2 linked regions of the Caenorhabditis elegans genome follow. The protein of the gene in region 1 purifies or fractionates together with the protein of each later gene. This does not show direct contact. Each region holds a gene or a part of one and is shown in the gene's direction. Other genes may lie near its edges.

The links.
Region 2: the proteins of F38H4.4 (region 1) and slc-25A42 fractionate together in Caenorhabditis elegans (co-fractionation; one large-scale study listed by BioGRID). This does not show direct contact.

Annotation. Positions count from the first base shown.
Region 1 is NC_003282.8:11,846,278-11,851,051, forward strand, and holds F38H4.4 (Tyrosine-protein phosphatase domain-containing protein), read left to right. Parts: upstream 1-1,984; 5' UTR 1,985-2,017; coding exon 2,018-2,060; intron 2,061-2,103; coding exon 2,104-2,321; intron 2,322-2,434; coding exon 2,435-2,782; intron 2,783-2,829; coding exon 2,830-3,152; intron 3,153-3,198; coding exon 3,199-3,312; intron 3,313-3,363; coding exon 3,364-3,610; intron 3,611-3,663; coding exon 3,664-3,750; intron 3,751-3,797; coding exon 3,798-3,923; 3' UTR 3,924-4,032; downstream 4,033-4,774. Other genes in the region: F38H4.6 (Major sperm protein), read right to left, coding at 758-798, 845-1,133, 1,340-1,480; tag-30 (BTB domain-containing protein), read right to left, coding at 4,757-4,774.
Region 2 is NC_003279.8:8,612,089-8,617,213, reverse strand, and holds slc-25A42 (Mitochondrial coenzyme A transporter SLC25A42), read left to right. Parts: upstream 1-2,020; 5' UTR 2,021-2,202; intron 2,203-2,381; 5' UTR 2,382-2,451; coding exon 2,452-2,472; intron 2,473-2,525; coding exon 2,526-2,634; intron 2,635-2,693; coding exon 2,694-2,880; intron 2,881-2,943; coding exon 2,944-3,149; intron 3,150-3,200; coding exon 3,201-3,280; intron 3,281-3,327; coding exon 3,328-3,484; intron 3,485-4,002; coding exon 4,003-4,127; 3' UTR 4,128-4,489; downstream 4,490-5,125. Other genes in the region: F43G9.21 (uncharacterized protein), read left to right, coding at 400-413, 689-809; cfim-1 (Cleavage and polyadenylation specificity factor subunit 5), read right to left, coding at 945-1,090, 1,188-1,417, 1,467-1,564, 1,612-1,821; F43G9.4 (PWWP domain-containing protein), read left to right, coding at 4,629-4,656, 4,704-4,768, 4,843-4,941, 4,991-5,125.

The DNA of each region.
Region 1 (4,774 bases):
CAAAGTATTTCTTTTTTCATAGTGTCCTGCATAGTTTCTGTCACTTTCTATTGTTGTTTTTTTTCTTTCAAAATGAAAAGTCTATTCTTAAACTCTCTCGATTCTTAAGAAACGAATTCAAAAAAATCCACGAGCTTATTATATACACAGTTAAAATGAGATGTGCGCATAGTGGATGAAGAGCCATAATGCGCGCATCGCATGTGGCGACCACCCGTCATGCGCCTATCGCGAACGGTTTGCGATGGGCCCATATTGGCTCTGTGGATCTTATAGAGAAAAATGACAAAGATCACCAACGAGGAGAATTTCGAAGAGAACTTAGAACACAATGTGTCCATAATTTATGTTCGCGATGCTCGCAAAATGCATCTCAAGTTCGACGCACAATGCGCGCGCAATTTTTTTTCCGGTTCCTTTTTCTCCCACGCGCGTTCCACGCCGAAAACACTATGCGCACATCACATTTTAACTGTGATTGTACTTGGATTGTTGAAAGGCATAGAAGCTCACCCCAAAAATGTACAAAAATGAACGATTTACAAGGGGTTTTAGTCTAATTTCGGTACTTCGCCTTTAACTAGGGATTGGTGTGCAGAGCGTTTAGAATTTTGAACTAAATTTAATCATTTTATAGCTGGTATTATGCACTTCTCGAACGTAAGATAAAAATCTCCAAAAAAATCGCGCCGAGACCGGGAAAAGAGTTCCTTCTAATTTTTACAATTGTTGAAATGACAATATCTTTATTCAAAGTTCACTTAGTCGACAAAAACGAAGCAGGGAGACGACGAACACCTGAAACAATACATTAAAAACTAGATATCCCAATTTTGAATCCAACCTTCAACTTTCGAATTTGCCCATAATTCACGAGCAGTTCGTCCGTCGCTGGTGGTATGGTAAAAAGCGAAATAGTGATTCTTTGAAATTGCATCTTTCTTATCTTGATTCTGATACCAAATCACAATTGAAACTGTCTCATTCGGTTTCACAAATCCCAGTGGAGGTTGGACACGGAAAATATCAGCAGACGTGCAACGAACTTTGTACGAAACAGTGACTGCCATTGGATTGTGCAACTTCAAGTTTACTGATATTGGTTTTCGATCTTCTGTGCACTTGAATTCAACCTAAAATTAATTTGAGTTTTTTTTCAGTTTCTTGAAGCTTTTGAAAATGAACGCAAAACGATTCACTATAAAACTACAAAACGTTTAAAAGATCGTGTCTGATGTATGCCTGCCTCTTTGGTCTGGAATTGTGAATATTCACACCGCAACAGTATACATTGGCGTAGGTAGGCTAGGTCACCTCGAATGTACACTCCCAAACTCACTTTATTCAGATTAATACCCAATTTGAATGTCGGTTCACCGGGTTTATTCATCAATGTAGTTGATCCAGCATCAACGAAATTTGCTTGATTTGATGGTGTAACCGTCATACCAACAGCAACCGGTGATTTTTTATCAGCCATTTGTAAGTTCTGAAATCAGATTCAAATACTGAAACGTTTGAAAATTCTTTGAAAATTACTTACCTCCAAGCTGCTATAAATGAGCAGAAAATAAAGTCGAAATAATTGATTTTTGAGTTTGAGTGATATTTCTCCTCAAAAATAAATTCAAACGTCAGATATAAAGAACTGAACCTTCACGTTTTATTTTGTAAAATGGATTACTAAATTCTTGTAATTTTATACTTTTATAAAACTTTTCTATTGGCAGAAGATGGTTTTATCTATTGAATCAATAAAGAGTGCATAGACTATTAACTTCCAATATTAAGAAGAAAAAAAAATACAACATTTTGTACTTGTTTTCTGATATTAAGCTTATTTTCTACTACTACGTTCCAAGAGACATGCTTATAATAAAGATAAATAAAAATTACACGCGTAATTGACCTTAGAAGAAAATAAACTTTTGAAGAAAAATGTGCAAATTGGGAGAGTTGAAAAAAACTATTTATTTCCGATATCACAAAATTTGCAAATTTCAAGAAACTCCGAAGCATGGATGCAAATGGACCAATTGTGAAGCACAACGTCCCGCAAAGTGAGTAATACTCAATTAGGAGAATTATAAAAATCAATTTCAGCGCCACAAACACCGACTCCTCATAAGAAGAAACATGCCAAACATCACGGGGGGAAGCACCACAGAAAGTCGCGTTCCGGAAAGAAGAAGACCGGATTCTTGTGCTGTCGTGGCAAAAAACGTAGAAAGTCAAGGAAAGGACATGGTAAATCTAAATCCACGGCTCATAAGCAGCCACGTTCGAAGGTCGTGAAGCCATTGCCACCAGTCGTTAATGAGGTTGGTTTTGAGACCAGATTTTCTGGGTATTTTGAACATATATAGTCAAAAGCCTGTTTTTAGGCTAAAAAAGCTCTATAAAGAGGGCAATTTTTTTTTAAATTTCAATTCAGCAACTTGGCGATGTAGTTCTCGTGAAGAATCTAGAAAGAAGTAAGTCATTCCCAATCCAACAACTTCCTGGAGCTCCACAGTCTCCGAACAAAGTGACACCTTCGAAGGCTTCCAAGGAGACAGATAAGGATGATAAGCTACAAAAGAGCAAGTCAAAGACCAAGTTAGATGAAAAGTCGGATAATAATAAGGACATTAAAGATGAGAAAAAAGATGATAAGAAAGAGGGAAAGAAGGAAGAAAAGAAGGATGAGAAAAAAGATGATGATGGAAATACAGAAGAGAAGAAGCAAAAATGGTTAGGATTGGCAAAGCGATTCGTGGATGAGGATGCCAACATTGCAGCTGTGAGTTTAAATGGTACTAGAAGATATCTAGAAACTTTTGAATTTAGAATGATTTTGAACAAGTTGTCAGCTACATCCCACCTAGCGTCACCAAACATCAGTTCGTGAAAAACATGCACAAAAATCGATTTGCCGACGTTATTTGCCTTGATCATTCGAAAGTTCACTTGTCAGATTCATCGTATATCCATGCGAGTTATTTAGAACTTGACACTCAGAAACGGGCAATTCTAACTCAACTGCCATTGCCGCACACATCTGCAGACTTCTGGCAAATGATTATAGAGCAACGTGTCAAGTGTGTGCTCCTTTTGCTCACCGACTCTGAATATGATAGTTTGGGAGGGGATTTCGTGTTTCCGAGGAATCAGTAAGTTTTATCATTGTTCGTGTCACTTCTATTTTTCGAGTTTCAGAGATTTTCTAAATTTCGAAGAACGTTCAATCAGAGTTGGAGAGTTCAAACGTGTTGAGATTATGGATGGATGGGTTCTGAAAGTTGTTAGTGTTAGTAATGGAGACTACAAGTCGTAAGTTCTATTTTGTTTCTATGAATCCTATTTTCTCAATAATTCCTCAAGATTCCTTCACATCCACCACTACAATGCATGGCCTCACAACAATATACCCGGAAATGGATCTCCAAAGTTTGTGAAACAGATTTGGCAGCTTCAATCAGTTCTTCGCAAGTACTCTCCATCAACTCCAACTGTATACATGAGTCTGTCTGGATGTGGAAGAGCTGGCACATTTGCCTTGTTCGAGACCGCCCATCTTTCTCTTCACAGTGAGCAGGCTACATTGGATCTGGTTAAGTGCTTGGAGATGGTAATGATTTTACATGTAACCTCCTCATGTAAATGTAATTATTCATTTTCCAGGTTCGCAATGGACGCATACATGCTTGTCAGAATCTGACTCAGTTTTCTTTTGTCTACACACTTTTGGCTGAGCATATACTGGATAATGTGAGTGTGGATATGATGTAGGATTTTGAAATGTGTACTATTTACAGGGGTTTTGCAAATTGGCCATTCCGAAAAAGCCAAATGACGAAAAGGATAAAGAGAAAGATAAGGAAAATGAAGATGAGATTAACGTTCAGATGATCCTCCGTCAACTTGTGATCAATAAATGCTGATTATAACTCTGCAACTATTTTCTGGTATCATGAAGCATTGTATTTCTCCGATTTTTATTTCTTCATAGATATTAATGCCCCTGGTTTTCATCAATAAAATTTTGTATTTAATTCAATTCAAGGTAACTAGGGTATATCACAGCCAGTTAACGAGAACCCAAAATTCTGATAGTGAGAATGCGTATTGCGCAACATACATATTTAACGGCTAAAATATCTCGAAACGAAAACTACAGTAAGACTTTAAATGACTACTGTACGTGTTGATTTACGGGCTTCAAAGGAATTATTTTTGAAACCCATAAATCAACAAATACAGTAGTCACTCAAAGTCTTACTGTAGTTTTCGTTTCGAGATATTTTAGGCGTTAAATATGCTGCGCAATACGCATTCTCAGAATTTTTCCCATAATATGAGTTGGGTTGAATATATTTGACGATTGCAGGAAACTTTCCATCAAAACCTTGCCAACGAACGTGAAGTAGCTGAGATGATGTATAAAATCACTCCTATAGAACTAGAATAACCAAATACCGTTTTAAAAATTTTTCAAAAAATGCTGGCATTTTGCAGGTGAAAACTGAACTTTGTGGGTAGATCAAATACTAGTAGATCACAATGATATTTGCAATTTCTCAGGGAAACTTGTTTGATTGAAAAAAAGCTTCTTTTTCGTGTGTCTGCATAGTTTCTATCCATCTCTAGTGTATCCTTAAAAAATGAATTCGAAAAGATCTATGTTTATTTATATTGTACTTGGTTTGCAGAAAGATTTTGATCAGAGATAATCACACAAATGTACATGGAGCATTCACAAACGAATTTAAATGTATCACTCGGCTGCTGTATA
Region 2 (5,125 bases), on another chromosome or scaffold:
TTGTCCGATGAGTCTCGACACGAAAAATGAGTCAGAGTACCATTTCTTTTGCGGTGAGACCCATTCAAATAAATCCGTGCGCCTTTAATGTTTCGCAACTTTGAAAATGCACGTTTCCAAATGGTTTTCATTATTACCTAGCTCAATCCGATTTGATTGAAAACTGAAGAAAATCGAAAATGAATCTTATCATTAATTTCGATTCACTCGCGTCAAAGAATCTGATTTCAAAAAAATTATTGAATTGTAATCATTTATTTCTTTGAGTTTGTTATTTCTCAATGTATTTCTAAATGTGAATTGAAAGTTTTGTGAGCCGTTCATCCATTTTGAACGAAAAATTCGCTATATTCAATCTGAAACACTGAAACAACAACGTCCGTATCAAGAATTAACAATATGAAGTTTGATAGGTAAGTTAGTTTTCTTTCTTTAGTTACTTCTTTAGTTACGTTTTCTTTAGTTACTTTTCTATTGTATTTTATTTCCTGCTTAAATTAAAGAGGCATGAGTCTCGCGCATGGGTCTCACCACGCTAGCAACTTTTTTAAAAATAATGTCAGAAATTATCATTTAATTTGAATATCAAGATTCAATTACAATAACTGGTTGTCCGCGTGGCGAGACCCAAGACCGTAAGATATGGCGTATTTTCTCAACTTCTACGTAATATGAAATATTCTTTCAGAATTTCCATCGAAACAAGCGTCTTCACAGTGTTTTGTATACAAGCCACGATCTGCATAATTTGTTTCATCATATTTGTTGTTGGAAGAATTAAATTACAACGAATGAAAATGAAGAAATAATTTATTTTTAAATTCATACTAACGATTTGAGAGATCATACATAACAAAATCGAAGATTTGGTAGGAGCAAAATTAGAGTGAACAAGGTCATTTACAAAATAGGAAGACACAAAAAGTAACAGATAATAAAAATATTTAGTTGGAGTCATTGAAAATGAAATTAAATCTCGAAAGAGTGGTTGGAAGAGAGGAAATCAGTGGTCCATAGGCGGCTGCGTTGTCATAAAGTTCAAAGAGTGGAGCTGCGACGAGTTTGAAGTTTTTGGGAACGCAGAATGTTGCTGAAATGTACAAAACATTAAACTGCTTAGGTTTCAATTAGGGAAAAAATTCGAAGACACTTTAAATTTTGATCTTATCAATTTTTCAGTCTCTTACATTTTGAGGGCAACTGAACAAGCAACAGCTTGGTGTGCTCCTTGGGTTTTGTCACGTGCGCAGGGATGTACGGGTAACGGGGAGGATCAAAGTTTGGTCGCCACCAGTTGCCTATCTCATCCTCGATTGTCCATTCGTTTGTCTCCCCATCGGTTCTTCCGAGTGTCTCGTTTAGAAGACGTGTGACTCCAGATATCTCATCCTCACCAAGTTCCAATTCTCCACCCGGCCTGCAATTTTTTTATGAAACTTTCAGATTTTAATAGGAATTAATCTCACAATTTATAAAAGGTGGTACCAATCTGCAGGAGTAGGATATGTGGAAGTGAGTGCTCATGAACAATAAGCACCGCTTCAACTGATCTACGCATTCCCATCTAAAAAAATAATTGATATCGGTTGGAGACAATTAGAGAACACCTACCACTTCATATTCGTCTTTCATTCGTTTGAACCTTTCTGGAACTGATTTGTCTTTTTCTGCTTGTGCATCTTTAGTACCAAATGTGTAATTAGTCAACGGATACACGTTGATTGTTCGATTGAACGGAGGTTTTTCATCAAAGTTCGCTGGAGCCTCGGGCACAGATGCTGAAATTGTTGTTCTTTCGATTGTTGGCCAGATGTCTTCCATTTTAACTGAAATTATATTTAAATTTTGAACCAATTTAGAGTACACAATTAAATATTGACGAAGAGCAAATTAAAAAAAATGAATTGAAAACTGGAAAAAATTGTTTGAAAACAAAATTACAAAAAAAATGTACAGATGGCCTAGAAACAGTTTGTCCATGGGGCGCGGTTGCAACGTGTGAAAACTAGTCCGTCTGAATCAAATTTATAAAATTTTCACGCCTTTATCGTAAAAATCTAAAAAACAACAATATTTTGTTCATTTCTATAATTTTTGACCGTCTAAAACGAACATCTCAATGAGAAACTAGTTAAGACGCAGACGTCAAAGAACGCTCGCCTATCAACTACTAGCCAGTCACATTTTAAGTGTAAACAATCGGTAAGGAAGATAAAGAGACGCCAGAGAAAAATCACACATCACTTTTTTCATTACTCTTCACCTTGAAATTCTTTGCTCCCAGTATGATACTCTAGACATTCTTTGAAATTTCGTTTTTGAATCGTTTTGTTATGTTAATTATGTGAATTTATATCCAATAACACATGATGATCTTGCAGATAAATCGTTGACTTTGTATCATTCCAACTAGAAAAACCAGCAAAGACTCGTGATTTTTTTGCAATTTTCATGCCGCACGACTCAAATGAGGTAAGATTTTAAATAAATTTTGGAACATCTCTGTCATAAAATCATATTTTCAGGGAAAACAGAGGCCCAGTGTCGTTTTGTCACTATCCGCAGGCGCGATCGCCGGAGCTTTAGCCAAAACTACAATCGCACCTTTGGATCGAACTAAAATTTATTTTCAAGGTAAGAATTATGTCACTTCGAAACAATCGAAAATACACCTAATTTTTTGTATGTTCCAGTTTCAAGTACACGTGGTTACTCATTCCGATCTGCCATTAAATTCATAAAACTAACATATCGGGAAAATGGATTCTTTGCATTGTATCGTGGAAATTCTGCGACGATGGCTCGTGTTGTGCCATACGCGTCGATGCAATTCGCAGCCTTCGAGCAGTATAAAAAATTGCTGAAAGTTGACGAAAATGGGTGAGTTTTAAAGTTTTTTTCACACCGAGGTGGCAAATTTAACTTCAAAATGTTAATTTCCAGAAGTCGAACACCCGTGAAACGATATATAACAGGTTCTCTTGCCGCCACAACAGCTACAATGATCACTTATCCTTTAGACACCGCAAAAGCTCGTCTTTCAGTCTCTTCAAAATTACAATATAGTTCTTTGAAACATGTTTTTGTAAAAACATATAAAGAAGGTGGTATTCAACTATTGTACAGAGGGATTTATCCAACTATACTAGGTAGGAATTCTTATGAAAAACATCTTTCTTATCGATTTTTGTTGATTACAGGAGTAATACCATACGCTGGATCTTCCTTCTTCACATACGAAACTCTTAAGATTATGTATCGAGATCATAGAGGTGAAGTTGTGAGTTGAGAAATTATTTCTATACGTTATTATGTATGATAATTCAGGAAAATTCCTACTACCGAATGTTATTTGGAATGTTAGCTGGTTTGATCGGTCAATCATCGTCATATCCACTCGATATTGTGAGAAGGCGGATGCAAACAGGGCGAATTCCGAGTGGATGGAGTCCTCTTAGAGCTCTAATTCATATTTATCATACGGGTATGACTATTTTTTGAATTATAGTTTTTTTTAAACCTTACTATAATGACAATATAGTTCTATCAGAAATGGGCGGTTGCAATTAAACAAAATAACCTGCTTGTTCCAACATTTTTTTAATTGAAATTCAATGTCAAAGTATAGAAAATCACTTGATGTGTCCGAAAATCAAATTAATTCCAGTTGAAAAATTTGAGAAAGTGCTTAAAAATGATCTGAAAGTTGTCAATTACTGATTATCGAGTTATCTAACTTTGTTTTTGGGCAAATATCAACTTTTTGGATAATTTAAGTGATTTTCTATACTACGATTTTCTAAAAAAAATATATGGGGTGAACATGGCGCAATATTTATGATTTTTCAATAATTGCCGCCGTCCACCTCTAAAACAAGATTTTGGAATTTCTAAAGTAATTTTTTATAGCTACACATAAAACTCCGAACAATTCACAATATTTGAGTGGGCTTTACTAGAATAAACTATACAGCAAACAATACAAAAACATCAAATTTTCAGAGGGTTTGAAACGAGGATTGTACAAAGGATTGAGCATGAATTGGCTGAAAGGACCAATTGCAGTCGGAGTCTCGTTCACCACTTATGAAAAAGTTCTGGAACTTGTGGGTCATCTAAAACGATAATCAATGGAACTCTCTCTTTTCTTACCGCCAAAAATATATTTTCTCATGATTTGTTTTTTTTCTATTTCGATTTGACTTTAATTTTTACTGCATTTGTTTTTTTAGATACCGCTAATTTTAGACTGTTTAGTGGATAGTGAACGTGAATATTTAGAAGATTTTTTTCTAATCCAAAAATAATTTTTTAATACTCAAAATCATATTTCTTCTGTGAATACTCAATTTTTTTAAAAATTTCTCGGTTATTCTTTTCCCCTCTATTTCATTATCAAGTGCCAGTGTTTCCCCGCCAAATCAACTTTCCCCGTTTTTAGTGATTTTCAATTTATTGCTCAATTCATAAACGGTTTTTATTTTTATTATTCAACAGTAAGTGTTGAAATTTTGATTTCAGGAGCTTTCATCGTCTTTTCTTGGTAATTTAGCCGTAAATTTGTATTTTTCGAAAATTTCTCAAGGGTTTTCGACTTTTATCATTAATTTCAGAATAATTTATATACGATGCCCAATTTAAACGCTGTGATCGCACGTTAGTTTAGTTTTTGGAAATACATAACTAAATTCACGATATTTCAGAAAATATTTCAAAAGGAGATGTCATTTGGGTTCCATACAGAAAAGATCCTATGTGGCCAGCACTGGTTCGTTTTTTTTATAGAAAACTGAAGATAAAAATACAATATTCCCTTTCTGCCTCAACGAACTCTTTTTACAGGTCAATAATGCTTATCCCAAAAAAGTCAGCTACAGCTTTTTCCCTTTGGCGCCTGGTGTCGATGAAACGAAAAGAAGCCGATTCAGTTGTGCTCCAAAAGTAAGATCAAAATTACCGAAAACACGATGCAACTATTCTCGAATTTCAGTTAACATACGCACTAGTCACCACCGAACCTCTTCCGGAAAATGCAAATTCTGATTTAAAAAAAGCACATCGCGCGGCTTGTGAATATCTTTCAAGTAATGGGAAAACTCGTGGTTCGAATATTCAATCGCTTGGT